7 linked regions of the Kluyveromyces lactis genome follow. The protein of the gene in region 4 purifies or fractionates together with the protein of the main gene of each other region. This does not show direct contact. Links are inferred from orthologs where the notes say so. Each region holds a gene or a part of one and is shown on either strand. Other genes may lie near its edges.

Region 1 (5,009 bases), on a different chromosome or scaffold from region 4:
AACTAATCCAACAGATGTTAAACACAATGAATAAACGCACACCTCTTTTCGGGCCTTGGTTCGTTCTGTTTATCACTTTCACTTCCTCTGACTTAGTTAGATTCCTGAAAACATATTCAAGAAGAAGCGATGTTGAAATTATTTTTTTTTTCAAATTTCAGCGAGACGGCATTAGTTCATTTCTTTTTCTCAAAGAAGCTCTGTGTGTGTCCTTTGTTTCGAAGGGAAACGAGAACGAGATGAGATCGTGCTGTGCGTGCGTTAACTATATGTTTTAACGATAATGTGGCTAAAAGGTTATATTTTTGAAAACTTCAAATTTCTCATTAAGTGACTGATACATGGTGGAATTTCAGCCAAACCTATTGGGCATTAGCGAGCTATGATTCTCTTTTATTCGTTGACGGTTTGATAGGAAAGTAGTAAGTTTCTCCTTACATATTGCTTTTGGAACGCAACCAAATTGCAATATCTTCGACGGCTAGTATATAGATATATAAATTTAGAAATCAGGGTTTACATTGATTCAGAATAGCTTTACTCAGGAAAAATACTTGTTCAATAGTGAATCGCATTGTGGTTTGATACTTTCGTCTACTTCAGCCATAGATTCGAGGGCAACTTTGATGAACGGTTTCACTGGAGGTCTGAACATCAACATGAATTTCAAAGACTGGAACCCCAATACCGATCTAGTAGGATCTAAACATAGTGATTTCATCTTTTCGATGTGTTCTTGAGTAAGTAACGGCATTTCACTGACCATTCGAATAAACAATCTTCTGTGGGAGTCATCAAGTTTGGGGATCATGAAATCTAGCACCTTTACTGACCATTCATTATATATGGTATGATCTTTACCATCGGAAATCAATTCCTCATGGTACCACTCTTCACTTAGCCATTCAAGTACAAGCGTGATTCTGTTCTGGAAATCCTCACAGAAGTAGTCAAAAATTGCGTTGGTGACAATATCTCTCACATCTTGATTCGATGACACTCCTCTAGAGCAGAGTCTAGATAATAAGAATACCCAGGAGGTCTTATTGTCCCAATTCATTAGTAGAACTTTGTCCAATGGATTTGTACTTTGTAATTGTGTCATTGGAGTGCTCACATCAGTTTTAGTTGGTATCAGTAATATATTCTGCACAATTCTTTGCAAGTGAGTCAACTTCTCATCATAAGTTAAAGTTGGAACACCCAAGGATACTGTATGACTGCTTGATGGTTCTGCATCTTCCACTCTTTCGATCTTTGCCCTTTTGCTTTCTGGTGGCTGTATAGGAGCTGAATCATCAATTACGTACCTATCGTCCGCAGGCTGCTGTAAAGGTTCTTCGTTTTTCATTGCAACTTCTTGCTTTATTGGCAAAGCTGCAGAATTCTCTTCTCTGGGACGTTTACTAGCTTGACTTTGGCTACTGTTGTTGAATGGGACTGGACTACTATCGTTGGAGATAGTTGCGCTCTGTTGTTGAGCATTGTTTTGTAACCACTTGTTTATCAAATCGGTGTACCTGGACGCAACTATGGATAGTCCATTAATGGCAGTACCTGTGTTTGTGTTACTTAAAGCCTCAGTACATATTTTAACCATGGTATCTTGAGACAACTTCGAGACATCGAATCCGGAGGTGACGGGGTTCATTAAGGCAAAAACGGCAGAATATGAGTTATCGACAGAGGTATGAGCAGGATTCAAAAAATGTGGATGCTTTGTCGTGGATTTAGTGAAAGCATAACTCTGAAGGGATTGCAATACAGAAAGATCAGGCGGTGGGGGTGGAGGAGCAGGTATGTTCTTTACGGGGGCATGTATCTGAGGTTGAAAATTATTCAGTAACGGTGGAGTAGATGCCGTATTCATCATTGTATTTCCTATCATTGGCGAAACAATCGGTGGCATTTGAATAGGAGACGGAGATTTCGTTGTCGCTGAAAATGTTCCTGATGAAGAATCTGAAGAAGAGTCGTTAACTTCCTTCACTCTAGTGTATTTTTTTTTATCAGCTGGAGTCATTTTATGTTCAATCGCAGCCGGATCATAATTTAGAATACCTTTAGCTTTGGTCTCTTCGCCAATAACGAATAGAGTCTGTGAAATTTTAGCTAGTTTGTTTCTATACTGTGTCATGGATCCACTGTTTTTGAGTAGTTGACTTTTAATTCCGAACTGAACTAAATTTCTGTAACAACGTTCCACAAATCGCTTTGCAAGTCTGTATTGTAAAGTGGGTTCATCATCTCTTTGGAATTTCATGTCAATGTTGAATTTCAGTAAAGCGGATGCGATTCGAATTGTGGCCAATGGTCTCTGCTTCATAATAAAAGAAAGACTATGAAGAGCACCTGTGAACCATGGTGCACACATCATTGGTTCCTCAATTAAAAAAGTTAACAATTTATCTAACAAATATTTGGCTTCAGCCTCCAACGCTTGCTTATTAGATATCACAGGATGATTTTCTGGTATACTTCCCACGCTAATTCCGGGTCCTGAGGTGTGCACAATAATGATTTTCGAAATGAGCTTCACACTTGCTAATTTTACCCCCGTTCCTCTTGAATGGTTATTTAGATCATTGTCAGACAAATCCAAAGGATAGCAGGTCTTCCAGTTGGCAATGATAAGTTCTTTAAACTTTAACATTACCGACCAAAGTTTATCATCAGAAGTCTTTGCTACTAAATCAAATAATCGGTCATAAATATTACCAAGACATAGTATACAGTTTTTGTAAGTGACATAATCTCTTGTTTCAGCCATTTCCCAAAGCGCAGTGATGTTTTGACATACAATGAATGGTTTTTCACTTGATGGAATCTTATCATGAACCAATATATCCAATAATAACTGGGTAGAAAATCTCGAGAACCCTAAATTCCGCTTATCATTTAAAAACAATGTGATACCGGTCTCCAAAACCTTAGGAAGCATTTGTTCCGGCATATGCTGCATTGCCATCGCAGCTGCCTGTTGCAACTGGACTAAAGGGTCTACAGAAGTTGACATAGTTTTCTATACTCAGCAAACAGATGATTGAAAACTCACTGGAACAAAACAAAAAAGTACTGACTGTTGAGGTGCTTTGTTTAAAGTTTAACACACGGTTTATAGTATCAACCACGCTTGATGCTATGTCTGACTTGCTCTTGCTGTTTCTGCGCTCTTCAGTCACTTGTGGTTTCTTATAGTCAAAACGAAATCTGAACTTAGTGTTTAATTTTTTTTTCAATTTCATGTTCGTGCTTATAGAGAAGAGAGACTGTGAAAGAGAAAAAGCTACAGATGGTACAAACCTGCCCGAGAATATTTATGGATTTCAGACAGTAATTGACATGACATTTGTAACATTTACTTCGATTGAACTGTATATTACTGATCATGAAATTCACAATTTGTGAGTTAATAATGCTATATTGCTAGAAACAACTAAATAATGTCATAGCTCACCGATGTCGCATTTTTCAGAGGTCAACTGCCTAATCGGTTGAAATATGTAAGTGGGGCATTGTGTTGATTTCTCTCATTTCACTTTATACGCTAATGATTTGGCGGTTTGATCATTGAACGTTTCTGGGTACTATGTCAATCAGGAAATCGAACATATCGGACTTTTGTAATGCATCCGCAATGTCTTGCTTCTGCAACGTACGTCGCTTATTTTCCTCTGCAACACACCATGCTCTCATTGTGAGTTCTGTGATGAAGATTTCGCAGGCTTTTGCAAATAGAATTGGAGCCTCTCCACTAATCATTCTAACTTCTTCGTCAGTTTTCATCACTTTCTTAATCCTTGCTAGTGGTAACGAATGCGATTTGAAGTCGTCTTGGAATTGTGAACCTGGCTCATTCGTGGATTCTATCTCATTAATAAGTTCCTGCCAATACTGTATCATAATTTCTCTGTATCTGCCAGCAAGTCCCTGGCCGACATTATGGAATACGTCGATCTCTTCATCTTCTTCGAGATCCATGAGAGGTCCTTGTTCGTTTGTTACGTTCTCTTGATTATTAGCTGCCGGTTGATCCATGGTTTCGAGGTAAGTGTCATCGACAATATCAGTTAGATTTCATGTGGATCTGTGCTGCTAAGAACAGGGTACGATTTCAATACAGATCCACTCTTAGCATATTATGCGGTTTCCTGAAATCGTTTTAAGGATATGATTGTGAAAATAATATCTATGGCTTTTCATTATAAAAAAGACCATTTATGAAGGGTACCTCAACCAATTCCTGCAAAGTAACGAAGGTGGGTAAAGAGTGAATAATACCTTGAAAAACCTAATCGGGCAAGGTCCACGATTATATGGATTCGGTAATATGTGCCCCCAAAGACAGTTCCAATCATTTACTACAACTGCAGAGTCTACACTTTCACATACAACTCACAAGCAATTATCCGGTGCAACAATTTATGATGAGCCAGAAAACTTTCTAGAGATAGAGGTTTGCAACCCAAAGACTCATTTCCCTAGTGGCGATGCTAAGGGAATGTATACAGATTATGAAATTATATGCAGGACGAATCTTCCTGGCTTTTCTAAAAGATCGAGTTCCGTTCGAAGGCGGTACAGTGATTTTGAACTATTCAGAAAGTTGCTGATCAAAGAATTACAACTGAGCAACCATCCGAAAGTCTCAGTACAACATTTGCCAGGAAAGATTCTCCTTTCAAACAGGTTCAGTGATGCAGTTATAGAGGAAAGACGCCAAGGCTTGAACAAATGGCTGGCATCTGTCGCTGGGCACCCTCTATTACAAACTGGATCAAAAGTCCTCGTCCGTTTCATTCAGGATCCTACCTTCCAGGGGTAGTAATATTAAGCAGATTTGCCATCCTAATATAACTTTCGCTAGTGGCAGTTGACATGAGTCGGAAAGTCTTGATGTACTCTGTTTATGGAGCAAATTACGTAGAATGTAGTTTACAGTATATCCAAAAAAGTATATAATATTTCATGTTACCTTTAACGGAGACGGTTCTATCATGCAAATATGT
Region 2 (3,695 bases), on a different chromosome or scaffold from region 4:
AGGTAGCCCTTTCATTGATACCTCCACGCGCGTATTACAGGCAAGCTCAGTTTAAAAAAAGCAGAGATTGTTCGAGGAAGTTTTTGTCTGGGGTTGATGGGTTTTGTTTTGCGCTGGTTTTGTGTTTTGCGCTTGGTTTTCTTTGTGGAGAAATTTTAGGCACTGGAGAATCTACCGTAACTGATGGTAACCTCCGATGGCTAGAGTTACTTCCCCGATGGTATGGAGAGATGCTCTGCTTGGATTATCTCCGGTGCTGCTATTCCTGTATCGGAACAACTCTGGAACAATTTTGGACAGTTCGGAGGGGCGGTACTGGGGCATTTCTCATTTATTGCTTATAGCATAAAGACAAGAAAATGCATTCAAGGTGCAATGATTTACCTCAGCGTGTTTGTTTAAGTTTCACCAAGCAATGCATACAGTTGTATAGTTTGCGATTGGTAGGCTATATTTTTACTATGTACCGCGTAATAGGCAAGTCGTAGGGGAATACTTGAATGTTTCGATTCTGTATAATGGTTTTTTATATCCTTGTGGTATAAGGCAAAAATAGGAAAAATAGCCACGATAGGAAGAGATGTGTGTGTACGTCCAGGTGTTCATGAAAGAAAGTTGCCAGCTTGATTTATTGCAAGCTCGTCAATTTTAGTGGATCGAATGTTTTTAGCGATTGAACCCCATGCAAACAAACAGTAGGAAAATCTCTCAGTACGCTGAAGTGAATGAGGGGTACCAAACTTTAAATTCTTGATGAAAGGAAAGACTACGGTATATGACATTACCCGGCCAATAACTCACTCTTGCGCGCTAATCCGAGCTTGCTGCATGTCATCCGATATCTCCCGAGATACACACTTGGTGAAAATTGGACAAGTAAATGTCTCGTCTCCATCTCCATGCCTTTTTTTTTAAATTAGTGTTTTCACAATCTTCGGATCCTGCTATTGGCTTTCCCCACAAATTTTGGTTATGTTGCTGCTCCTTCTCTTCAGTCAATAGATGAACGAATTTCGTCCTAATTACCCTGTATGTTTGCCTTAATTTTTTCGTTCAGCAGCAGTAGCATTTGTTATTTCGTTTCATATTGACAATGGCGTTTTTACTGATCACGTGTATTAAGTTTTAGTTTACGTTTATATATGTGTGTATAGTAACGGCTATATGCTTGTTGAAGTAGTGCATATCAGTCAGCTATCCCTCTACGCTTTGATCTCTTCAATTTCTTCCGAATCACAAGCATCGGTACTGAAGTTATGAAATTTTGTAATGATGCCAACACCGTTTGCAACGGAATAATAATCGACGATGGCTGCAAGGAATGTGCCATCTCAGTGAGTAATTGTTTCGGATATGGATGGTACATTGAACATATTAGGACGTCAATTTTGTCCAAGGTTCCAACTCCATTGGTGCATTCGAATAAATAATCTATGTGATCGCAAATTCGATTCATTTGAAATAGCATATCGTTGGTATCGTCGTCACATTGGTTTATGATGTACAAAGTGTCCCCATTAGTGAAAACAGAACCGAAAGAGTAAACTAAGGCGTATATTTTCTCAGCAAAAGATTCATCCATTTGATCCAAGTAAACAACGAACGAGTGGCCTTTCTCGCTCGTTGCGGCGGTAATATTGTCTCCTTTGCTCATATGATAGACAGCTCTATGTATTCCGTGTTGAATTTCTTCCAATTTGATATCTCTTTTGTCTGCTTCTGTTTTAATCTCAGCATTCTTCGCTAGCCATGGCTTCATAGAGTCGAGTACTTGGGTAATTGGTGTAACAAAGTTCGGTAAAACTTTACAACCTAAATCATAATCAATGTGTTCATCAATTTCTATTTCATTCTCTACATCACTCACTTGTTCCTCCTCACTGACCTCACCATCGTCTTCTCTATCTTCTATGAATTCCTCTTCATCTTCATCTTCATCCTCGTCACCACCATTTTCTTGTCCTGGAGATACGCTATCTCTAGTGTTTCCTTTTTTGGCCTTCAAATGTAACCTTTCTGAAGGGTCCTTATTCAATATTGTCCACTTCAGGTAGGCTTGGTCCTTTATACTTACTCGACTCGCAGACCTTGATATCGATCTGCTTGATGATATGCCGGTATCTCTTGTCTTACTCCGGGACCTACCTCTTTGCTCTGGTTCCTCTATCTTTATAGTTGGAAACGCTGGAGGCGCAGCCAGATGCTTATCATCAGTTAGTTTCTTATTCAAAATACCTCTTCCAGGTTCTTCCATGTCTAAATATGTTCAATGGCTCACTTGTAGTATACTTTGTCTGCGACCGGAGATTGAAGCTAAGTTGATAGTTATTTCAATGATGTTGGATTAAATATTCGTCCTGTGAATTCAGTAGAATAGTATTAGCTGTGATACAAAAAGTTAAAATTATTTCACAGGTACAAGCTAGTGTCGCGGATAAAGAAAGTAAATGTGTGACTGGTGACTTGTATTAGGAATCTTTTCTCTGGTGTGAAAACATAGCAGTATAATCGTTTTTCAAGGTTATTTTGGCTTTTTATTTTTATCATATGTTTTCATATCACTTCACAATTTCAGTGCCTGTACTGCGAACGCTTAAAAAAAGTTAGAATTCTACAGACTGAAATGCTAAGAAAGGATATGAAATAGCAGTTTCTCTTGTAACTTTTGGGGAGGCGATCTTGAAAACTAATACCTTCCTTGTAGGACGTATCAAATATTGCATTCTAATTATTCTCCCGCACATATTTCAAGCTGCAAATATTAAATCGAGAGTTGTTATGATATAACGGTGATAAATAAGGGATAAGAAACTAAGAGATGGACTTTGATTATGAGAACGCCAAGTTCTCAATGCCAGAGAAAAGAATATTCGATAGTCAGGGTACCCTTGACTTCCAGAATTCAGTCGCAATGGTTAGAATACAATATCACTTGCAGAAGTATATTACGCTTTGTAAGGGCCAGCAGATACCAGATACAATCAAAGAAAGTTTTTTCACTAATATCGTAGTGGAACTACTCAAAAGGCTGTCTGCCTTGATAGACGAGACACCTCCTGAGAGAATGCATAGTAGATATGGAAACCTTTCATACAGAGATTGGCAAACGAAGTTTCAAAACCAATTGGAGAATTGGTTGCATGAGTTATTGCCCGAAAAGTACAACAACAGCATCATAGAACTTTCATATTACATATCTAATGCATTTGGATCGAAGGAAAGAATTGACTATGGAACTGGTCATGAATTGTCCTTTTTAGCTGTGATAATTTGTTTGGATATGCTAAAAATTGAAACAATAAAGGGGCCGGCGCTACTTTATTGTTTCAATTCATATTACGACGTGATTCAGAAACTAATCTTAACCTATAAATTGGAACCTGCTGGGTCTCATGGCGTTTGGGGGCTAGATGATCATTTTCATTTCTCATACATTTTAGGAGCCACTCAATTGTTAGATGTGAATACTTCTTTAATACCAAAGGATATTTCTAATACTAGATTGATGGAACAAAACAGCTCTAGCAATCTATTTTGCAAATCAATACGATTCATTAATGTCGTAAAATCGGGCCCATTTTCCAATCATTCTCCTCTACTCTACAACATATCAAGGAGTGTTCATACATGGCACAAGATGCAACAGGGTTTGATTAAAATGTACAAGGTAGAAGTTTTAAATAAGTTTCCAGTCG
Region 3 (3,586 bases), on a different chromosome or scaffold from region 4:
ATAATGGAAAAGAGGTTATTGAAACACCGTGGGAATCCATTCCGGAAGATGGTCCTATTAAAATGAGTCAGGAATTTGAAGTAAACATGGAATCAAATAACGTCACTTTATTCATGACTATGAAAATTCGATACACAAGCCCTCAAAATCAACTAACTGAGGTTGTAGAGAAGATTCCTATCAAGAAACGATTTGCGTTCGGCAAAACAAAGTATAGGCTTGAGAAAAGGTTTGTTACTAAGAAATTGAAATATGACGATTGGGACTTCAAATTCGCAAAGGATGGTTCATTTGCACGCTGCCAGGTAAATGTCAATAAAAATATGCTGAAACAAATCAAATACAAAACAAATGAGCTACACTTTGAATTCCTCAATGAATGGGAGCGCGAATTTGATGAGAAAATCGCACAAACATATAAAGAAGACGAATTATGGAAACTTCCTCGGAAAAATCCATCTAAGGTTTGCTCTCTTACAGTTGATGTGATGTATCTTCCAAGAACTTCGTCCATGGAAAGATTCCCAAAGAATCTGAAGGCAGTTCAGAAGTGTTGCGAGAAGTATCTTGAACAGCAAAGGGTCAATAATGAAGGATTCCTGTGGCAAGAAGGCGGTGATGTAGAGGGAATGTTGAAAAGAAGATATATGATTTTGAAAGGCACTGAACTTATAGCTCATGACGAAGTTACCAGAAAACCACAAACTTTGTTGAATCTTCTAAACGTAGTAGATATATACTCTGATGGTAAAACGGCAACTGGAAAACAAATGAGAAACTTTACTGATATGGTACTTTTCAGCGATTGCTTCAAACTCCTTTTTGCAAATGATGAAGTTATAAATTTTAACGCTGATTCTAATCTTTTAAAACAACAATGGGTTGAAATTTTGACCAGCGTTGTTGAACTGAATAAATTCCATCAACCATGGATCAAAAGAGTTTTTGAAAACGAACAATACAACATTACTTTTTAAACTGTTATAGTATTCAGATATATAGTTTGTCTTTGCCATTTTTTTTGAAGTATAGTATATTAATGTCATTTCTCTAATTATAACAAATGTCAACATGAGGTCTTTAAAACTAAGCTGTGTTACAATTCCATCAAGGAATCGAAAATACATGTACATGTCCGCTATATATCATTAATGTTGCTTGCAATCAATACGAGCCTCAAGCACTAAATTTCATTTCTTGTCGTTGAGATTATTATTGTTGTTGTTGTTAATGTTGTTCATGTTGTTCATGTTGTTCATGTTGTTCATGTTGTTCATGCTTGATACATTTTGATTTTGCATGTTATTCATCATACCCGGAAATGGAAATCCTGGGAAACCACCAAACATGGGGGGAAGTCCCATAGGCGGAGGAGGAGGTTGGATTGTATTCTGTACAGGTTGTCCTGAACCTGGATCATTTAACTTTCCTTGCTGCTGTAAAGCTAGGAGGTTCATCAAAATCTTTTGTGGGTTGTATTCTTTCGTCAAATGTTCTTGTCTATGTAAATATTCCATCCAAGTCTGTTCATTAAATCCATAATTGAAATAATCTGAAATATTCGCTCCTGGTTGTCTCCAGGGCTTCTCCTTTAGAATTTCTGGATCGATCTGTACTATAGGTTTCCCATCGAATTGTGCATCCGGGTTCAAATCAATAGTTTGTTGTTGCTGCTGCTGCTGTTCAGGTGGTATTGAACCCTCCTGTACAGGAACCACGTCCGATATACCAGCCACTGCTGCAATAGCATGATCCGCTGTACCAAGAGGCGTTGTGTCTGTTATAGCAGATATCTGGGACTTACCAGAATCTATCTTAGAGGTATCGTTACCAGTTCCGATGATAATCTCAACATCTGAATCTGAGTCACTGCTGTCATCCTCATCTGATGAACTATCCTGATTGGAGGCCTCACTCTCTACCTCATTCGTATTACCTTCCGGTACATCATGAGCTAGTATCTTGGGTGTTTCTTCGACCTTTTGTCTTTTCAATGCAGGACCCTCTTGCTTTGCGACTACGTTAGAATCCTCCTCATCGCTGTATAGAAACTTATCGTCTTCATCCTCACTGCTCATAACGATTCGTTTCTATATGTCGTTCGTGGACTGGTAGAAGATTTATCAATAAATGCTTGGAAAGTTTGGAAGGCTGCGCAACCCAAAAGGTATCTTAACAGGAAGATAGTTCTTCTTCTCATATAGAAATCAACTAATAGTTAACTCTCAATGCTAAGATTTACCAAAATGATGCTGTTAAATCGACGCATATCCGGGTAAATTATTGTCGTATTCAATGACAAACATTTCTAATGAATATCTGTCACCGGACAGCGGACAGCGACTCAGCTTGTTTGGACGGAATGTATAATATGGGTTAAATGTGTAGCTAATGAGAATACATGATTTACAGAAGAATTAGATGTGCATGTTGCGGACAGTATCGATTTCCGATGTTAACGAACTTGAAAGAATATGCGATGGTAAGAATTAAAGATATGGAAAAGTAACAAGGGAAACCAAAGAAAAAAGTGCATCTTATTGACGAAGCATAATACTTTGTCCTGTTTTTTCAGAGTAAAAGTGTGAATTAATTAAAAAAATTGACAGAAAACAACAGAGGAAACAAACATTACAGGCGAGTGAGTGTCTTTAATGTGTTGAAAAGAGTCAGACATTGTTGAGAATGAATGTTCAAAAAAGTCGATTGTAAACTGCAATTGAGAAGTGAATGTTCTTTTTTGAAGTGTTTATGGGACCTGTAAGGTTGACTAAACATGGTCACCTTGTGTCCGCACCCACAGAAACAAAGTAAAAAAAAAAATGGAAGGTAATTTGAAATGAAGTAGAGAATTAGAAAGGAATGAATGTAAGAAATATGATGAAGAAGGAAAAAAATATGCAGGTGTATCATACAGGCAGTCTATAGCAAAGGGGGAAAAATAATATCTGGATAAAAGGATGAGGATTGTTCCATCAAAAATACGTCTTGGAGAACTTGTAATCAATTTCTTGGAATCTAATCTTATCGAAATAATCCAAATCGTTAGAATCAGCCAAGAAATACCCAAAATAAGGTAGTAACTTGTTAGTTAGCGTGTAAACAAACTGATCCTTTTCCGAAACGACCGAATCTTTCTTTGAAGATGAAGAGGAGAACATGATGGGTGCCACCAATGCACGTTGCTGTTTTTTCTTCACTGGAGCCATGCACTGCAAGTCATTGTCCAAATCTTGCTCGTCTTCTTCCAGTAACACGTTGATACTTCTTGTAGAAGAGAAAACAGAACTGTGTCTTGTGTCAGCCAGTGAAGGTGGTGTAGAAGAAGAACAAATAATTCTCTGTTCATCTTCTTCTTCAAAACTCGTCTGTAAAAATTTCAAATTGTGAACGTGAATCAAATGGACAGGCTGAGTATGGATCATCGACGGCATATGGATGGACCTTGGCTGTAAATCGTGTCGACTGATAACATGCTTCTCATGAAAATCAAGGCTTACATCATCTTCGAGATCAGAAAGTGCCAATTCACCATGCCATTCCATGTTAACTCCACATTCTTGCAGGTCGTCCAGTTTCAAATAGC
Region 4 (3,650 bases):
AAAACCTGGATATACATATACACATATTTTTACTTTGAATATACACGACGACTATATCTGATATACTTCATGCAGCCATGCCTTTCGTTTTACTTACACATACGAAGTGACTTCGAAAAATCTCTTCAAGTAATAGATCTGGAACAACGAATTCACTACAACGACGAGCAATTGGAACACAGACCACCATTTGACACGGTCATTAGTGGATTCTGCTGTGTTTCTGTGAGTTCTTTCTCTGATAATAATGTAACTTTGTTCGTTCTTCACTTCTTTGACCAGTTTGGACAATTGTCTCACTGAGCCGTCCAAAGATCTGGTGTTTGGATCATCTAAATCGACATAAATAACACCGAAAACATTGAAAGTCACGTCCTTAGTGTCAATGTTCGAGTTTTCATTCAAAAAGCAGTATTGGAACTTGCCGGTGTATGGAGCGTTCACAAACACGTCACCATGTGACACGTCTCTCAAAGTTTTCAAGACCTCGCTTCTTTGAGACCCATATAGAACGAAATCACCAGTCAATTGTTCAGTACCATGAGGGTTTCTATCACCGAATTGGAAAGATACAGATAGCTCGTCACCTTTGTTCAAGTTTTCAAAGAAACAACGACGACCGTACGCTGGTAGATGTACCGTGTGTGCGTTACACAAACCAGCAAATAGTAACACCAAAAATTGTAATAGCATTCTTATATGTAAGGACTCTCTGGCTACTAGTTGTTTTTCACTAGACGGTTGAGGGTAGTGCAATAACAAAGATGAAGGGACTCAACTCGATGAAGTGTGTGAATACAAATGTCATGTAAGTAACAGATCGTCAAATAAAACACGACTTCAACTTTTTGCCAAAAAAAAAAAAAAATAACACATAGAAAGATCGAAAAAAGAGGGTTTTCCAAAATTTTCAGTCTATGCTAAAAAACACGATGTGTCTACAGCACTATGTTAACGTACGTGTTATTGGTTTAGTCGATTGATGTATGGAAAAAGGCTCAACGGCTAATCTACAGAATTTTCCTTTGCAATATGTAGAATATATATATATATGTATATATCACTGCGTATATATATACTAATAACATGAATGATGGGATATGTGTAAAAGGGTGATAAGAGAGTAAAGTGGAGATAAAGGTTTGAAATTGAAATTGTAGCAGCCCGCTTGACATTCGACAAAGAAATTATGTTACAATATATTAGAAAGGTATAAAGGAAAACGTTCTAGCTCAGCAAGTTTTTCCAGTAATATATCTTATACTTTATGTTTGAATTTAATAGTTTATTTTTTTCTGGTTTTTTCATTGGGGATTTTCTTTGAGATGGGATTCGTTGTTTAAAGGGGGGGGAGAGATGAGGATGATGATGATGATGATGATGATGATGATGATTAAGAAGGTTTAAATTTAAATTCATCATTTCTTTCTTCTCACTACGTTTCGTTCCAATAACTTAGAAGCTGGTTTCAAGATTTGGAACGAACATAATAAACTTTCATCAACAGACATCATAGCACCAGCGTTATCGAACTCACCACAGTAGTTTGGAGCACTGAACAATGTTACCAATTGTCTTTTACTGAAAAACTCGTATCCGTCTTCGACGACTTGATGTGCTCTACAGATCAATTCCATATCTTGTTTTTGTAAAAACCTACTCACTACGTCAGGACCAAAAGTGAACGAGACACCTCTATCGTTTTCTGACCATCCAACGATATCTTTATCCGGATCGGACCATAACAAATCGCATAATAACCCCACGTCTGGGATATCGGTGGGTCTCATCACACGTCTGATTTGTTCCATGGTATTTAAATCTGGGGATAATCCACCATGCATACAAAAGATTTTTTCATCGACAATCGCAGCGATAGGCAAACAGTTGAAACAATCCGTAAAAGTTTTCCAAAGCTTAATGTTATAACGTCTCTTACATTCGTCGTAAAACCCGTAAATTCTATTGATCGATGCACATTCGTGATTACCACGCAAGATAAAGAAATTCTCCGGATACTTGATCTTGTAAGCCAACAGTAAACAAATGGTTTCTAGCGATTGTTTACCACGATCCACATAATCACCTAAAAACAGATAGTTGGATTCTGGTGGGAACCCACCGTATTCGAAAAGACGTAACAAATCATAATATTGACCGTGGATATCACCACAAATCTTAATTGGTGCCTCCAATTCCAATAGGATTGGCTGCTTGATGAAAATAGATCTGGCCTTGGAACATAAATACCTAATCTCGTGTTCTTCCAAGTCAACCTGATGGCCAGGTTTCAACCCTCTCACTTCCAACAATCTATCAATGATATCGTCAACGTCTACTGATTGTTGATCCATTTTTCTTATTTTATTCCTTGTTCCTTTGTTTTATAATTATCGCGGTACTATATCAAACGTTCTTAATAATTGAAGTAACCGATGGCAACTGTGATGCTTCCGTGTCTTGGATTATCCAAAAGTATTGGTTCTTATTAATCCTTATTTTTTTTTCCTAACGAAGCAAACAGATTATAGAATATAGCCCGCAACTTTAAAAGATAAAAAAAGGTACTAGTAGAAATTACCCTGGTTTGAAGATGCAATATTGTCTCACTTCCAATTTCTACAAACAAACAGACCCTGCTGTATTCTTTCTAACCTTCGTATGAACGTAAGTCTCTCAATCTCTTATGTTTTATAATTATCTTTCTTTAATAATATTAATTTTTTTTTTTAATCAATTGATTGAAAGAAAAAATAATAGAAAAACACACACAGAGTTTTAAAGGAAAAAAAATAGAATTAGAAAATAACCCGAAAAACGAGATCTACACCGTTTCGTATTGTGTTCAAACCTGTCGCCAATAACCACACACTGACCTGACTCGAGCTGGCGCCAATACTGATGATCTTCCCGGAAACAAATGGGAAGGAAAACACTGAAAATACCGTGTTTTCCCAATGAATAAAACACAAGTTGTAAGTAATGCCAAAAAGCGTTACCGAAAGTTTTCAATTCTCAATTTTCACTTTTGTTCTCCTTCATATGGGAAAAAAAGAAAAGAAGTCGCAGTGTCAGCTTGGTATCGCTTCGCATTGGACTGGAAAACCAACTGGGGCTAGGGATGGGGCTAGTGCCCAGTGTTGCCTTGCCAAGTGTCGTATATGTACTATTTAGTTATGGAATGGGTTGTGTTCTGTTTTTGTTTGTGAGCGGGAGGGTGCTAGGTATTTCAGAGATGTCGGGTTTCGATGGCAAAGATGCTACTACTACTGCTACTGCTGCTGCGCAGCAGCAGTAGCAGTGTCTATATTCTGCCTAGCATTTCGCACCGCAGCTCGCGCACGCAGCCTCTGACATTTACGTCCCTTGCCTTCTTTGCCTACTTCTCTTCTTCTCTTCTCTTCTCTTCTCTTCTTCTCTTTCCACTCGTTTACCATATTTATTATTAGAATCAAGATGTAAAGAGCTGGCAGGCTGCAGTTCGTTACATTCTCCATTAGGGATACATGAAAAAATACATATAGTAAATAAAACAAGGGCGTACAATAAGCTACCGCACCTTGCTATTTCGGGCAACACCAAGGCATAGAATCCGTTGGTTTGGATGTGTTCTCACTTCGTTGGTTCTGCCCTACCCGATAAGTTAGAGA
Region 5 (4,942 bases), on a different chromosome or scaffold from region 4:
AAATTGATGCAAGATGTTCGATTATCTATATATGCTTTTATTAAAGGGCTACGTGTATGAGAGTTAAACGTAACATGTAAAGTATATTTTCATTCACTTTAGGTTAATGAGGAGGGAATGCTAAATTTTCCCTATGAGCTACGTATTCACTATCAGCATAGCCTAGAATATCTTCAATCTGATCACTTTGCAGACCTTTAATTTTTGATAACTCTGTGCTTGTATAGTTGCAACGAGCCCTACCTACTGTTTTCAGTGCAACGGATTTATCCAAATTTCCATCTGAATCCCTGACTCCCAATTTTATATCTATACATTCATGTTCATGGAAGCTCCCTTGGACTTCAATAACGCCTGCAGGTAACAAACCAGCTTTGTTTTTCCTCGTTAACGCTTCGTATGCACCAATGTCTATAATTACAGCGCCTTGACTGACGAGTCCATGAAGCATCCAGAATTGTCTGTTCTTCAAGTGATGATGATTACTATTGGCAATAAACCTAGTATGAAGAGGAACATGATTATTAACTAAACTTTGCATCTCAGTGAGTTGTAGGTCAGCCAAATCTTGTGTAAGTTCATTCACGCCATCGTCCCTTTCCTGCATGTAGAGAACAATTTTGGAAATGTTTTCTGGAGTGTCGCTCTTCATAATGATGGTATGGACACCAGCATTGGTTGCTAATTCTGCCGCAATAAGCTTAGTCTTCATACCACCAGTTCCAACATCTGATCCAGATCCACCGTCTGTGTTCACACCTGGCAATCCTTGTGATATATCTGGAACAACCAAGATAGGTTTTGCATCGGGATTTGCTCTTGGATTATCAGTGTATAAACAGTCAACATCTGTCAATAAAAATAGATAATCAGCACCAGTCAACGCTGCTGTGATAGCTGATAATGTATCATTATCACCAAATTTGATTTCGCTCACAGATAAAGTGTCATTCTCATTAACGATTGGCACTACTCCCATGGAAAGTAATTCACTAATAGTATTCTGTGCATTCTTATACTGAGTCCAATCAACAATGTCATTTCGAGTAATTAGGATTTGAGCAATTCTCTGATCAAATTCAGAGAACAAGGAATCCCACCTCCCAATTAATCTGCCTTGGCCCACAGCTGCGATTGCTTGCACCTTGGATAGTTTCTTTGGCCTTCCCTTCATATTCATCGTTTTCAATCCGACGGCGATACCTCCACTAGATACAATGATAACTTTGTGTCCTCTTCTGCGTAACTTTACCACAGTCTCCACAATCAATGACATGATAGAAAGTTTTGGTTCTTTGGTCTCTTCATCAACTAGTGATGAAGATCCCAATTTTATGACTATGACGAACTGCTTTACCATCTGAACTTGTTGGAAAACGTTCTTCTTCTCGCGGTCCGTAGAAACCTTTGGTTACAGAAATTTCAGGCCAGATTGACTAATAGCTGCTGCTCACAGACAGTACACTATGTTTATATCTGTTTTGCAGATGCAGTTATTCATCTTTTCAAATGGTCTGCAGATGTCATCGAAACATTTACTTTCAGTTTCTGTGAATTTTTAAATATTCACCGGTTCTTCAAAATATAGGTAACTATCATTACTAAGAACACTGGAAACAGACGAGCGTAGGTGGGCATACTAGCACTCTTCAGTCACACCTGAATCTGAAACGTTTAAATATCGGGGATAGATAATAAATGAACGTTTTTGACGAGATATTGCAACCCACTGTGGTTAATAAATGCTTACATGGGAATTTTACGTCAGCGGAAAGGGAAGAATACGTTGTTGCAAGAACCAATGTTCTCTCTGTATTCAGGGTCTCGCGAGCACAAAAGCTTGTACTTGCATATGAATGGAAACTAGCAGGTAAAATCATAGATATGCAATTACTGCCCCAAATTGGATCGCCTCTTAAGATGCTTGCAATACTTTCGTCGAAATCCAAAGTATCGTTGGTAAGGTTTGACCCAGTGGCAGAGAGTCTTGAAACACTAAGTCTGCATTATTATCACGACAAATTTGTCAATTTAAGCACTTCTTCTTTGAAGACGGAGTCCATTATGGCAGTGGATCCATTGTTTAGATGTCTTCTGGTTTTTAATGAAGATGTTTTAGCTATATTGCCATTGAAACTGAACACAGAAGATATGGAAATTGATGAGGATGAGAACGGAATAAAAGAGCCAATGGCTAAACGCTTAAAAAGGAACCAAGGAATCACATCCGATAGTATAATAATGCCAATTTCTAGCCTTCACAAGAGTCTCAAGCATGTCTATGATATAAAATGGTTAAATAATTTCAGCAAGCCAACTGTGGGAATATTATATCAACCGGTACTTGCGTGGTGTGGAAATGAAAAAGTACTTGGAAATACTATGAGGTACATGGTTTTGAGTTTAGATGTCGAAGATGAAAAAACCACCGTGATTGCTGAGCTTGCAGATCTTCCGAACGACCTGCACACCTTGGTTCCACTGAAGAGGGGATATGTGTTGATTGGTGTCAATGAATTATTATATATCAGTGCATCTGGTGCACTACAATCGTGCATACGATTGAACACATTTGCAACGTCTTCAATCAATACAAGGATAACTGATAATTCTGACATGAATATCTTTCTATCAAAGAGTTCAATATATTTCTATAAAGCTTTGAAAAGACATGATTTGCTTATTTTGATAGATGAAAACTGCAGGATGTACAACATTATTACAGAATCAGAGGGTAATCTACTTACCAAATTTGACTGTGTACAAGTACCGATTGTTAACGAGATCTTCAAAAATTCAAGATTGCCGTTGTCGGTATGTGGTGATCTCAACTTAGAAACTGGCAGAGTTCTTATAGGTTTTCTCTCAGGTGATGCAATGTTTCTGCAACTTAAAAACTTGAAAGTGGCATTTGCAGCAAAACGACAACTTGTTGAAACTGTTGATGACGATGACGATGAATACAGTGCACTTTATGGAGAGTCTCAAAATAATACTCACACCAGAATCGTCGAAACACAAGAGCCTTTCGATATATCATTGTTGGACTCCATTTTCAATATCGGTCCTCTAACATCTCTTACTATTGGTAAGGTCGCATCTGTTGAACCAACTATTCAGAGACTTCCCAATCCTAACAAAGATGAATTCTCAATTGTAGCTACATCTGGAGTTGGGAGGGGATCTCACCTCACTGCATTGCATTCCACTGTCCAGCCCCACATAGAACAAGCCTTAAAATTCACAAGTGCGACCCGTATCTGGAATTTGAAAATAAAGGGAAAAGACAAGTATCTTGTGACTACAGACGCTGATAAAGAGAAAAGTGATGTATATCAGATTGATAGAAATTTTGAACCTTTTAGGGCGCAAGATTTTAGAAAAGACAGCAGAACCATCGGCATGGAAACTATGGACGACGATAAACGTATTTTACAGGTAACTTCAGGAGGATTATATCTATTTGATGTTGACTTTAAGAGGTTAGCAAGATTAACTATTGATATCGAAATTGTTCATGCGTGTATTATTGATCCATATATTCTATTCACGGATGCTAGAGGTAACATCAAAATTTATCAACTAGACTCTAAAAATAAAAAAAAATTCATCAAATTTAAGCTTCCAGAGGCTCTCAATGAAATTATCATCACATCTGGTTCCATTTTCAAGAGTAACATTTGCAACAAATTCCTACATGGATTGGAAAACTCTTCACAAGAACAGCTTCTCTTCACATTTGTAACGGGCGACAATCAGGTTATTTTCTTTACCGAAAAGCACAATGACAGGATATTTCAGTTAAATGGTGTCGATCAGCTAGAAGACATGCTTTTTATAAGTACGTATCAGATTCCTGAAGAAATGAACCCGGACCCATCAATAAAGCAAATCATGTTAAACAGATTGGGCCATCATAAGAAAGAAGAATTTCTAACTATTCTTACGTTTGGTGGGGAGATCTATCAGTACAAGAAGTCGACAAAGCACAGCGGTAAACTCTTAAAATGTAAATCCCATCCTCTAATTACCGGTGCTCCTAACAATGCATACCCTCAAGGAGTTAATAAAATAGAAAGGGTTGCTCATTACTTCCCTAACTACAATGGATATTCAGTAGTATTTATTACTGGTCAAGTACCATATATCATAATCAAAGAAGATAATTCGGTATGTCGGATATTCCGGATGACTAATATACCTATTGTCACAATGGCTAGGTGGGGTAAAAACTCTGTGATGTGCGTAGATAATATTAAAAATGCAAGAGTAATGAAATTAGATCCTGAATGTTATTATGGGAATACTCAGATTCTTAGAAAAATCATTATTGAAGATGTTGTTGAGGAATTTGAAACTTTAGGAAATATTGCGTACCATGAACGGACCGGAATGTATATCATCTCCTATACCAAATTCATCGAATATCAAGCTCTAAGTGAAGATGGTGAGCCCCTTGTAGGTTACGATCCAAGCAAACCAAATAGTACTGGGTATAAATCTGGACTTCTTTTGATCAATCCACTCACGTGGAATATCATTGATCGGCTTGACTTGTCTGAGAATTCCATGGTAAACGACATTAAAACCATGCTCATTCAGTTGAACTCAAAGACTAGAAGAAAGCGGGAGCTGGTCATTATCGGAAGTTCTTTTGTAAAAGAAGAAGATCAGCCTAGCACTGGCTGTTTACTGGTTCTGGATATAACAGAAGTGGTGGCCGAACCAGGCAAACCAGATAGTAATTTCAAGTTTAAACAGCTCTTTGAAGAAGAAATTCGCGGATCTGTGAATGCTGTATGTGAAATAAGTGGGAGATTTATGATCGGCCAGAGCTCAAAAGCGCTTGTTCGTGATATGCAAGAAGATAATTCTGCTGTTCCCGTAGCGTTTTTGGATATGCCTGTGTTTATTACCGATGCAAAGAGTTTTTCTAACTTGA
Region 6 (3,835 bases), about 750 kb from region 4:
ATCAGCAACGAAATAAGCTGGTCTAGAATCGAAAACTTCTCCTAGAGAAGCGACCTTAGCCTTGGACTCAGGACCTGGAATCTCTGAGGTAACGACCTTTGGTTCAGTTGGTTCGTTTGGGTAGTACTTAGCAGCAACGGACATCTTTTCCTAATTCAAATGATTACTCTGTGCTTGTGGACTGGGTGTAAACTAAAAACACAATTACAAACAACATGTAAATTATAGAAACTGGTTCCTCTAGTTCAGAGAGAACAATCTACCCATGGATTTATATACGATTTTTTTTCCCATGATTCATGTGCACCTCATCTGTATAGTCCCGCGCTCCCTTTAAGAATCGCCTTGCTTTAATTTCATAAGCACTTTTTTTTCATTGATCTCTAAGCTCAATAAGCACAGTGTTTTACGCTGTAGTAATTATCCGCGCGCCATTCAAAAAATTAAGAGCAGCGAATAGGTATTTTAACGAATAGGTCGGTGAAACTGCGACGGAAACCTCTTCTGCCCTCTCTTCCTCCTTCCCTCCTTTCCTCCTTCCTTCCTTATCAGCTCAGATCGGCACTGATGATACCTGATATAACATACTGAAAACAGAAACGGATTACTGCAAGAGAGGACTTGACAAGTTTTTCTTTTTACACACGCACATAAACAAATATCTATCTAATCTCTCCAAAGGATCCTGACACAAAGTGCTCCGTGTTGCTGTGGAGGGCGGCAGCTACCGCCAAAACATTCGAATAGTAGCCCAATCGTTTCGGCATTTCTTTCCCTTTGCGCTTTCCTTAGACATTTCCCTCGACGTTCGTTTCCCTTCATTTCGCCGCATGCATTTGACATCTTCCTGTTTTGAAATGTCGGTTATTTCAGCTTTTTCCATTTTCAGTTTCCTGTATGAGCCAAGTCGTTAAAGAGGAAAACTTGCGCGCGGAACTTTTAGGTTGGGAAACACGGTGGTATACACTATAGATAGAAAGAAAGCCTTCGAGCCATTATGGATGACTAAGAGATAGGAATTGTGCTATGTATTTTTCTTGTTATTGCTATTATTATTATCTATAGAAGGTAGTCGTTTTTGAGTTGCTGTATTAGTTGTTGCTGGCCTGGTGGAAGAGCCATTATGTTCGTTATGGGCATCGAAAGCGCAGTTCTGATCATGTTCTGTTGATCTTGCGGCAGTAGCGAAAGTTTTGCCTCGTTGAACTGCTGTGGGGTGTTGGCAGCGTTGGTTGTAGCGGTGGTGGTAATATCACCACCAGTACCGTTACCACCGCTGTTAATGCCTTGAGCCGTCTGGGGTACAGACGGCTCAGGTAGTTGAACTGGCGGCAGAGTTGGTACTGTAGGCGCGGCTGCGGCAGGCGTGGGTCCAACAGAATGTTGGCCCTGCATTTGGCCTAGAACATTTGATATCACGTGATAGTTTATCAACCCCATTTCTAGCATTGCCTGAGTGACAGCTACCGTTAAGTCAATGTTAGTCTTCAAGAATTGTTCCAGTTGTGGCTTCTTGTTATGCTGGTTGGCTAAGATCTTCAAGTTTGATAGAATCTCGATCATTTGTAACGTAGGAATCTTCGATAGATTTTGAGATACCACATCCGGTGCAGTCATCGAGCCCGGTTGGTATGCTGGTAGATGCTTTGATGCCCGTGCTAAGATCTCTGGGATCTCTATCTGCTGTGCCGGTGCCTCGTTCGCCTTCGAGGCAAGGTTATCCGAGGCAGCATTCGTAGATGCAGTGTTATTCTCCGAGGATAGTGTGCTTCCTGCGTCACTTGTTATTGGTTGCACCACCGGCAACGGCTTTCTTGGTAAAGGTACCTCACTTACCATTTCAAACGGTAGTTCTAATTTGTAATCCCAGGGAAAATTGTCTCTTGTGAACTCTAACGGTTTCAGTTGGTCTATTTTCTCTAACTTTTCTTTCCAATCTTTGGGAATCACCATGGACATCCTACATGGGAAATGGTTTATCTTATTTATTGAATTTTGGGCCCTATTGGCGGAGGAAGAGTCCCTGAAATCTACATCTACCCATTCAAGACATCCTCTTTCACTTCCAGCTCCAGCTCCAGCTCCAGTTCCTTTTCCCCCTTCTCGTTCTCCTGCTTCTTCGACCTCATCCACGTATTTCTCTCTAACGTCAACTATATATCCAGAACCAGTTATCACAGATGTGAAGTTATCCTTGTTCCACTGAGCAGGTATGTCAGTAAAACGTATGGTAGATGAAAGATTGTGCGGGGTCAGTTCATGCCTGCTTTTCCTAGTACGAGGATCCTTCTGTGGGTCATGCATACTTTGACTGTGTTTAGTTAGAAACCAACTTAAGAGTATTTCACCGTTTCGATATATATATGTATTCTCTAAATTGCAAACTTGTTATCGCAAATATCTGACTGGTGTCTAGTAACTAGTATTATTTTGCCTCACAATGAATCGTTACGAACATACATAATTACATATTCATTCTTTCTAGTCGACAGCAGATTTCTTAATTCATTAGTATGGCCGTTAGTCTTTAACGATGCTTAGAATCTTTTTAAGTTAACATTCATATAAGAACAATATCCGGGTAATAATTGATTATATATCACGTGCCAACTGATGTTTCTTTTGTTTTGTATTTCTTAGATTTACATGAAATCGAAAATCAGGAAGCCTTCGAAGTTAAAACGTAAAGATATGATTGATGAATAAGAAACTGTTCTGTCCACATCCAATATCAGCCAGAGTATTGTTAATCAAGCCTCTACTATTTAAGAAAATTGTTCTAAGGATCTACTCTCGTGGTTTGTTATCTAGACAAGAAGACAGTCTGATAAAAAAAGCATTGCGCATCGGTTCTTATATAAGCATCGTGAACCTAGGAAATTTGTTTAGAGAATTTGTCTGTGAGAATTCTAGTTTAACTGGTGGATAGTACTATACTTTATTATCATTTCCAAGAAACGTTTCCATTTATCATATTTATGACAACGATTTGGTGTTCTCCGTTTTCAAGTTAGATATATCAAATTAAATCGAACTGAACTGAAAGGAACAGTAATATATCCGTCATCCCGAAAACATACCCCCTGTGATTTATTAGCTAGGTATTGATAAGAGGATTCATCAGAGAATAACAGAAGACATAGTCATTGATCTTGTTTGACTGTATCTCAATTTTGAATCAGTCTCTTTTTTTTTGATTTTGTTTTGCGTTATTTTCACGTAAAGGTGGAAAAGAGGTAGTTAATTATTCTTGTTGAGTTGCCAAAACTGTTGTGGTCCAAACAGAGATCAGAGTCTGATTCAGATATTTCCCTTCATCTGAGAAAAAGGAAACAGAGGGCTGCAAGAATAATGAGTAAGCTGAGCAGGAAGTATCATTTGCCCTATACAAGAGCCATCATTGGCGAAAATGGTTTATTGATTAAAGATCAATTTACGTCCGGTCCTTCAACAAGCTCATCGACGCTTTTGGCACGCAGAAGTAATGGAGGTGATTTCGGCGATGACGAGGATGACGAAGACGGCGATGCTTCTGGGAGCTTCCAATCTAGTGTTTTTGAAACAGCTTCGTTAATCAGTTGTGTTACTTGTCTCAGCGACACGGAATCTAAAGATGAGAATGAAGCTCTGCTGCTACCTTCAAATACGGTTATTCCTTACGCAAAGATTCTTGATGTCACGAATATGGAAGCAGAAGATGATGGTTCCCCATGGCCGGATCATACTGCATTGATTGAAGTCACTTTTGCAAAGCCAAGGAGGAACCATTTAGTCCCAAAAACAATAAAATTGAGCGTCGATACTTCAGTGTTTCCTAATATGGGAACTGATGTGG
Region 7 (4,924 bases), about 920 kb from region 4:
TTCTCATTGCTTCCGATGACGACTACTTGTTTCGCGTTTTCATTTTCTTTTAAATCATATTATGTGAAAACACGTTAAAACAGGGATGTTAAATGACAAACACCAGTGGCCTATCTTCAGTTCAAACGTCACCAAAATAATTTTGGCTGGATACGTAAATATCAGCATAGGATCAGATTAATATAGGCTGTATCGTTTTAAATTGTCGCTCTGGAACTCTCGAACGATACAAAATCTGACGAAGTTGCAGTTCCTGTCTTATAATTTTCGTTTGCAAGCTAACTTCAAGTCTTAAATGTGACATTAAAATTAAATTGTGTAACTGGCAGTTAATAGTAGGCCTAACGGGCAATTTCGATTACTTTATATACATGATTATCCTCTAAGAACTAAATGAAAAATAGAATGAGTTAGAATAACAGTCTAGCTGTTAAAGGGTTTTAGTAATTCAATTTGGGAGCTATTTTTTTAAACCAAATATGCTTCTCCTTTTTTTAGTCGAATCACTTGAAGATTGACTGGCAATACTACCTCTCCTTGAGTTGCTTTCGCTGACCACTGGACTTGAATTTGAGCTATTAGAACCAATGTTGTTATTGGAGCCTCCCCCAAATAAAAATGAAAGAAGTCTACCTTTTTTCGACTCTTTCTTATCTAGAGAAGTTGTACTCAATACTTTCCTCAACGAAGTTGAATCCGACTTGGGTTGATGAGATCTTACCACGCTCAATGATAGCGCAGAATCTTCTCTATCAAATGGATCAGAATTCTGCGAATATGGATCATAAGACTTGATGCGCTGAATAGCTCCCTTTCCATCCTTTGATTTCACTGAGTTAGCAAACTTGATACCTCCCTCTCCATTGTTAGCGAGTGGGGATACTGGTCGGGATGGAGGAGGTGAGCTTAACACAACTTTGGGTAATTTTTTATTCTTGAAAGTATTTTGATTGAAGTCCATTGTTTCCTTTGAGTTCTCATGTTCAGTTGGAATTTTTGATTTTCTCTTGGGAGGAAGATCCGAGAAATCAAGCATAGATTTCTTCTTCATGACTCTGGGCCGTACACCACCTGTTATACTTCTTTTGATCTCAGCCATATCGGCAGAGTCACCCCAGGTTTCGAGCTCTTTGTTGAAGTTCAAAGTAGCATTAATGATAGAATCCATTTTCCCATAATATTGTTCAGGTGTTGGAAGTCCCGTATCTTCATCCAATAATTTAAGCTTTTTGTCAACAAGACAACGGTAATTGTGTCTTAGCTTTTGAATTTGCTTTACAGTTTTTTCTCTGTTGCCTAAAGACAAATTTGATGTTGTCTCCACATCATCATCATCATCGGTGTCTTCGTTTTCAGTGTCATCAGTTTCCGTTGTGGAAACACTGAATGATGAGACATCCAGATCAGTGTCCTTATCTGACGGTAAGACTCGTTGTTTGAATAGAATATCTCGCTGCAACTTCTTTTCGAACCATCCCATCCTCCTTGCAGCCACAAAAAAAACGGGAATAGGGAAATACTGCATCAGCACCGGAGCCAAATGTCTTGACTTATGCACAACAACTGATCCCGAGCCATATTTATCAATAGAACTGCCGATGACAAAAAAATCTGGAGCGTACGCATTTAATGAATCAATCAATATTTGCGAAGTCGAACCGATCACAATTTCAACTGTTATTTTGAGCTTCTTACCACCCATGATCAAAGTAGAATATTCGATGAGCCGCTGAAGCAAGTCATTTACTTCCCCAACCGTGCAACCGTCACACCAAGTAGCATCAGGTTGATCATCATCGGTACCGAATTCCCGAGTCCGAGAGACAGATCTCATCCTAGATCTAGAACGAGAGCGAGATCTCGATGCTGACCTCGATCTCGTATAAGAACCACTTCTAGTCGACCAATCTCTTCTGGGAATATTTGCAATAATAACTATATAATCAATGTCCTCAGCCAATTCGGCCATAGCCCAATCTAGTGCAACCCATGTATGTTCTCTACCACTTATATGCACAAGGATAGTTCTTGGCGTCTTTACCAATCCAACAGGGGTTCGAACAACTTTCAAATGTCTTTTGATGCTAGCCCTTCTTTCCTTTTGTATCATTTCCCCATTGTCGTTGACCAAAGGGGCATCTGTTAAATCGACTTTCACTTTCGGAAATAGAATCTCAGGAAATTTGAAGTACGTACTGACGCCGGTCTCTTTTCTCTCCTCCATTTTTTCTACTCGCTGTCTCCACTCATGCTTCCAATCCTTATGGTACTGTGTCCTGATCAACGCGTTATTAAATAAAACAGGTCTGCTGGGGTAGTCCCTTCTTCTGATTTCCCCGTTAGGGCCAAAGAAAATCTTTGGATTATTGCTACTGCCTCCAACATCAAGCTGAAATGTGAAATCATTGTTTTGCCTCGGTCTCATAGGCGAGGATCCACGTACTCTGTCTGTAAGGGTTGGGGTGATTCCCAAGTGAGTCCTTGATGATCCCCGGCCATGGCGTATATCGTCATGTGAATCATCACTATCGTAAAATCGATCCAGAGCGTAATCCAAATTATGAGGATCGCTGTCGTACCCTGATTCCTCGTTAGATACACCCTCGATAGGTACTGTGTCCCAAGAAACCGTTGGAACCAACTTTTCGCCGGCTCCGTTCAGTAACGAATCAACAGAACTTCGACTGTCAGAGCTATAATTACTCTTGTATCTCTGCAATTCCTCTGAACCTTCAGTACAGTGATCACACAGACAGAACTTCACCCTCTTATAATAGAAAGGATCTGTTTTCTCCAGCATCGGACTCCTTGGCTTTTGCTTCCCTAATAAAAATACTTGAATTCGTTGAATAACCAATTAACAGAACTCTCCGGTTACGTAAAATTATCGAAGGGAAAACTTTAACTTTCTGAATTAAGCGTATCTTTGCAGTTCAAGCGCAATTGTTACCCAGTAGTTTCTTCACCTTTTGAACCCTTATCAGTTGCATTCTGAATAATATGTCTTGGTATAATAATACTTTCAATAATCAACTTTTTCTTTAAATTTCATAATGACAAGATCGGAGAAAATGCTGCAAAGTTGAAAGTTAGTAACATAGAATAGAAAAAGCAGGATAATATGATACCTTTGAGTGACAGTTCATACTTAATTATATATTCGAATCGAGGTTTCTTTTTAAATATCAAGGCACAACTATAATTCTAGGATCCAATCGATGACGGTGTCTATCAAAGTTCCGTCTTTGCAACTTACTGAGAATAGGGCGATGTCTCTGTTTAATTTGACTTTCGAGTCATGTGGTAAATGAAGCAATCCGTGCTTCAAGTCTATGCCCAATTCTTTCGAGAGAACCTCTACCTTGCTTAATACGTGTTGATTTTCTGGATTTAAATCATACTTCGGTATATCTTCGTATTCATAATTGTGTAACAAGGGAGAGACGTAATTCCATGTCTGTTTCCTCGCAGAGTTTTCTACTGAACTCCGTTGATCTGAAACATCCGACTTGGCAACGTATAAATCTCTATGAAACTTCGGGATTAGGTCCACTTTGTTACCTAATATCAGAATAGGTACATGCTCCAGGTTTGTAGCGATTATCACATCATGAAGCTTGTTCTTTGCCTGTTCCCAATTCGTTAAATCGGATAAATCAATCATGAACACTAAAAGATCGACTTGTTGGAAACATCGATCCCAGAGTTTTTGAAAGCGGGTTTGGCCGGCTAAATCGTATACCTTTAGATTGGTATGGTTCGGCAGCTTTACATCTTTGATGTTTACTCCTAAAGTTGGTATCGTGTCGACCACAAACTCCTCTCCAGCTATCAGATTGGTGAAAGTCGTTTTACCTGAGTTTTGCAAACCAACAACTGCAATGCTCAATTGTTTCTGAGTGCTCGCAGTATAAAGCCAATCCCAAAATTGATTGAACCATTTCCAGAAGCAATCCATACCTACTCAACAGCTCGAGCTATGACCGTTTGGTCTGTTTTTCCTTCTACTTTCTCTTGGAATTGTAGCATTGCGATGTATCAGTTGTTTAAATGTCAACAATAATAGTGACCCTAAACTTCTATAGAAAAACCGGCTGGAAGGGCAAAAACAGAACAAGGGAGAATAGCTGCCGAATTGTATCTTGTGCTACATTAACGCTGGTACGGTATTACATCTACATTATCAAATTGCAGTGAAAGCCGTATATATAATTGTATATATAGATTTATCTACAATTTAATGTGTTCTTTGGTATGCAAGATCATCGAATCGTTTGACTATAGGGTATCCTTCTAACATACCGAAGAAATACCACTCCACAAGGAAATCTGTTGGAACACGATGGTAGTTGAGTCTCGGTCTCAATAAGAAGTAGGTCTCTGCTGCATGGCAGATAATTTCACCGATGATGATTGATATCAAGACGGCGTCCTTGGAGATAAAATCGATGATATACTGCGGTAATGGGAAGTATTGTAGAAGGCTTCTCTTCATAAAAACAACTATTGGTAGGAACACTAGAATTATTATCAAATATTCGACAAAGTCTCGAGGATACGACATCTCGTTGATCATAACGTGCGACACTCCTCTTTTCTCGGCAGCCTCCTTGGCCATCGACACCAATCTGTCTCTGGAATCTCTGAAACTGCTTAAAGGTGGATCAAAAGGAATCACCTTCTCAATATCAAAATCAATGGCAGCATGTTGGAATAATATGGTCATGTGGTCCAATTCAAATTCTTTCAATCTAACGCTACTGATTTGGTCTGTGATTGGCACATTACCAAATACATAAAGAAAATCCTCTAATGCAAGTTTATGATCTTTATTCATATGAGCAATAATGCTCTGTGCTGTGCCCTTAGCAGAAGTCGTATTCTCAGACATTGTTATTGAACTTATCAGGACAACGGTAATTGG

The links.
Region 1: the proteins of GLC7 (region 4) and PTA1 purify together in Saccharomyces cerevisiae (affinity purification with mass spectrometry; 11 studies listed by BioGRID, with this or other methods). This does not show direct contact. The link is inferred for Kluyveromyces lactis from reciprocal best matches to the Saccharomyces cerevisiae genes GLC7 and PTA1.
Region 2: the proteins of GLC7 (region 4) and IMP21 purify together in Saccharomyces cerevisiae (affinity purification with mass spectrometry; 3 studies listed by BioGRID). This does not show direct contact. The link is inferred for Kluyveromyces lactis from reciprocal best matches to the Saccharomyces cerevisiae genes GLC7 and IMP21.
Region 3: the proteins of GLC7 (region 4) and FIP1 purify together in Saccharomyces cerevisiae (affinity purification with mass spectrometry; 4 studies listed by BioGRID). This does not show direct contact. The link is inferred for Kluyveromyces lactis from reciprocal best matches to the Saccharomyces cerevisiae genes GLC7 and FIP1.
Region 5: the proteins of GLC7 (region 4) and CFT1 purify together in Saccharomyces cerevisiae (affinity purification with mass spectrometry; 6 studies listed by BioGRID, with this or other methods). This does not show direct contact. The link is inferred for Kluyveromyces lactis from reciprocal best matches to the Saccharomyces cerevisiae genes GLC7 and CFT1.
Region 6: the proteins of GLC7 (region 4) and PTI1 purify together in Saccharomyces cerevisiae (affinity purification with mass spectrometry; 5 studies listed by BioGRID). This does not show direct contact. The link is inferred for Kluyveromyces lactis from reciprocal best matches to the Saccharomyces cerevisiae genes GLC7 and PTI1.
Region 7: the proteins of GLC7 (region 4) and JIP4 purify together in Saccharomyces cerevisiae (affinity purification with mass spectrometry, with the first as the bait; 4 studies listed by BioGRID). This does not show direct contact. The link is inferred for Kluyveromyces lactis from reciprocal best matches to the Saccharomyces cerevisiae genes GLC7 and JIP4.

The regions. Positions count from the first base shown.
Region 1 is NC_006037.1:330,498-335,506, forward strand, and holds PTA1 (RNA-processing protein PTA1), read right to left. Parts: upstream 3,017-5,009; coding exon 542-3,016; downstream 1-541. Other genes in the region: HAP5 (Hap5p), read right to left, coding at 3,568-4,038; SNX3 (Snx3p), read left to right, coding at 4,331-4,825. UniProt on the Saccharomyces cerevisiae protein: Essential in pre-tRNA processing. Component of the cleavage and polyadenylation factor (CPF) complex, which plays a key role in polyadenylation-dependent pre-mRNA 3'-end formation and cooperates with cleavage factors including the CFIA complex and NAB4/CFIB.
Region 2 is NC_006037.1:35,948-39,642, forward strand, and holds IMP21 (Imp21p), read right to left. Parts: upstream 2,255-3,695; coding exon 1,187-2,254; downstream 1-1,186. Other genes in the region: peptidylprolyl isomerase RRD1, read left to right, coding at 2,819-3,695. UniProt on the Saccharomyces cerevisiae protein: Controls the nucleo-mitochondrial dependence of galactose, maltose and raffinose utilization. Becomes essential in the absence of functioning mitochondria.
Region 3 is NC_006041.1:534,247-537,832, reverse strand, and holds FIP1 (cleavage polyadenylation factor subunit FIP1), read right to left. Parts: upstream 2,079-3,586; coding exon 1,191-2,078; downstream 1-1,190. Other genes in the region: BUD4 (Bud4p), read left to right, coding at 1-977; transcription factor IME1, read right to left, coding at 2,976-3,586. UniProt on the Saccharomyces cerevisiae protein: Polymerase-regulating component of the cleavage and polyadenylation factor (CPF) complex, which plays a key role in polyadenylation-dependent pre-mRNA 3'-end formation and cooperates with cleavage factors including the CFIA complex and NAB4/CFIB.
Region 4 is NC_006042.1:1,158,250-1,161,899, reverse strand, and holds GLC7 (type 1 serine/threonine-protein phosphatase catalytic subunit GLC7), read right to left. Parts: upstream 2,355-3,650; coding exon 1,419-2,354; downstream 1-1,418. Other genes in the region: EMP24 (Emp24p), read right to left, coding at 94-693.
Region 5 is NC_006039.1:880,062-885,003, reverse strand, and holds the start of CFT1 (cleavage/polyadenylation factor CFT1), read left to right. Parts: upstream 1-1,698; coding exon 1,699-4,942. Other genes in the region: PRO1 (glutamate 5-kinase), read right to left, coding at 104-1,360. UniProt on the Saccharomyces cerevisiae protein: RNA-binding component of the cleavage and polyadenylation factor (CPF) complex, which plays a key role in polyadenylation-dependent pre-mRNA 3'-end formation and cooperates with cleavage factors including the CFIA complex and NAB4/CFIB.
Region 6 is NC_006042.1:1,903,946-1,907,780, reverse strand, and holds PTI1 (cleavage polyadenylation factor subunit PTI1), read right to left. Parts: upstream 2,305-3,835; coding exon 1,060-2,304; downstream 1-1,059. Other genes in the region: UGA1 (4-aminobutyrate transaminase), read right to left, coding at 1-144; KLLA0_F20504g (sphinganine kinase LCB4), read left to right, coding at 3,352-3,835. UniProt on the Saccharomyces cerevisiae protein: Component of the cleavage and polyadenylation factor (CPF) complex, which plays a key role in polyadenylation-dependent pre-mRNA 3'-end formation and cooperates with cleavage factors including the CFIA complex and NAB4/CFIB.
Region 7 is NC_006042.1:240,838-245,761, reverse strand, and holds JIP4 (Jip4p), read right to left. Parts: upstream 2,801-4,924; coding exon 461-2,800; downstream 1-460. Other genes in the region: KLLA0_F02662g (ADP-ribosylation factor-like protein), read right to left, coding at 3,197-3,958; KLLA0_F02640g (uncharacterized protein), read right to left, coding at 4,238-4,891.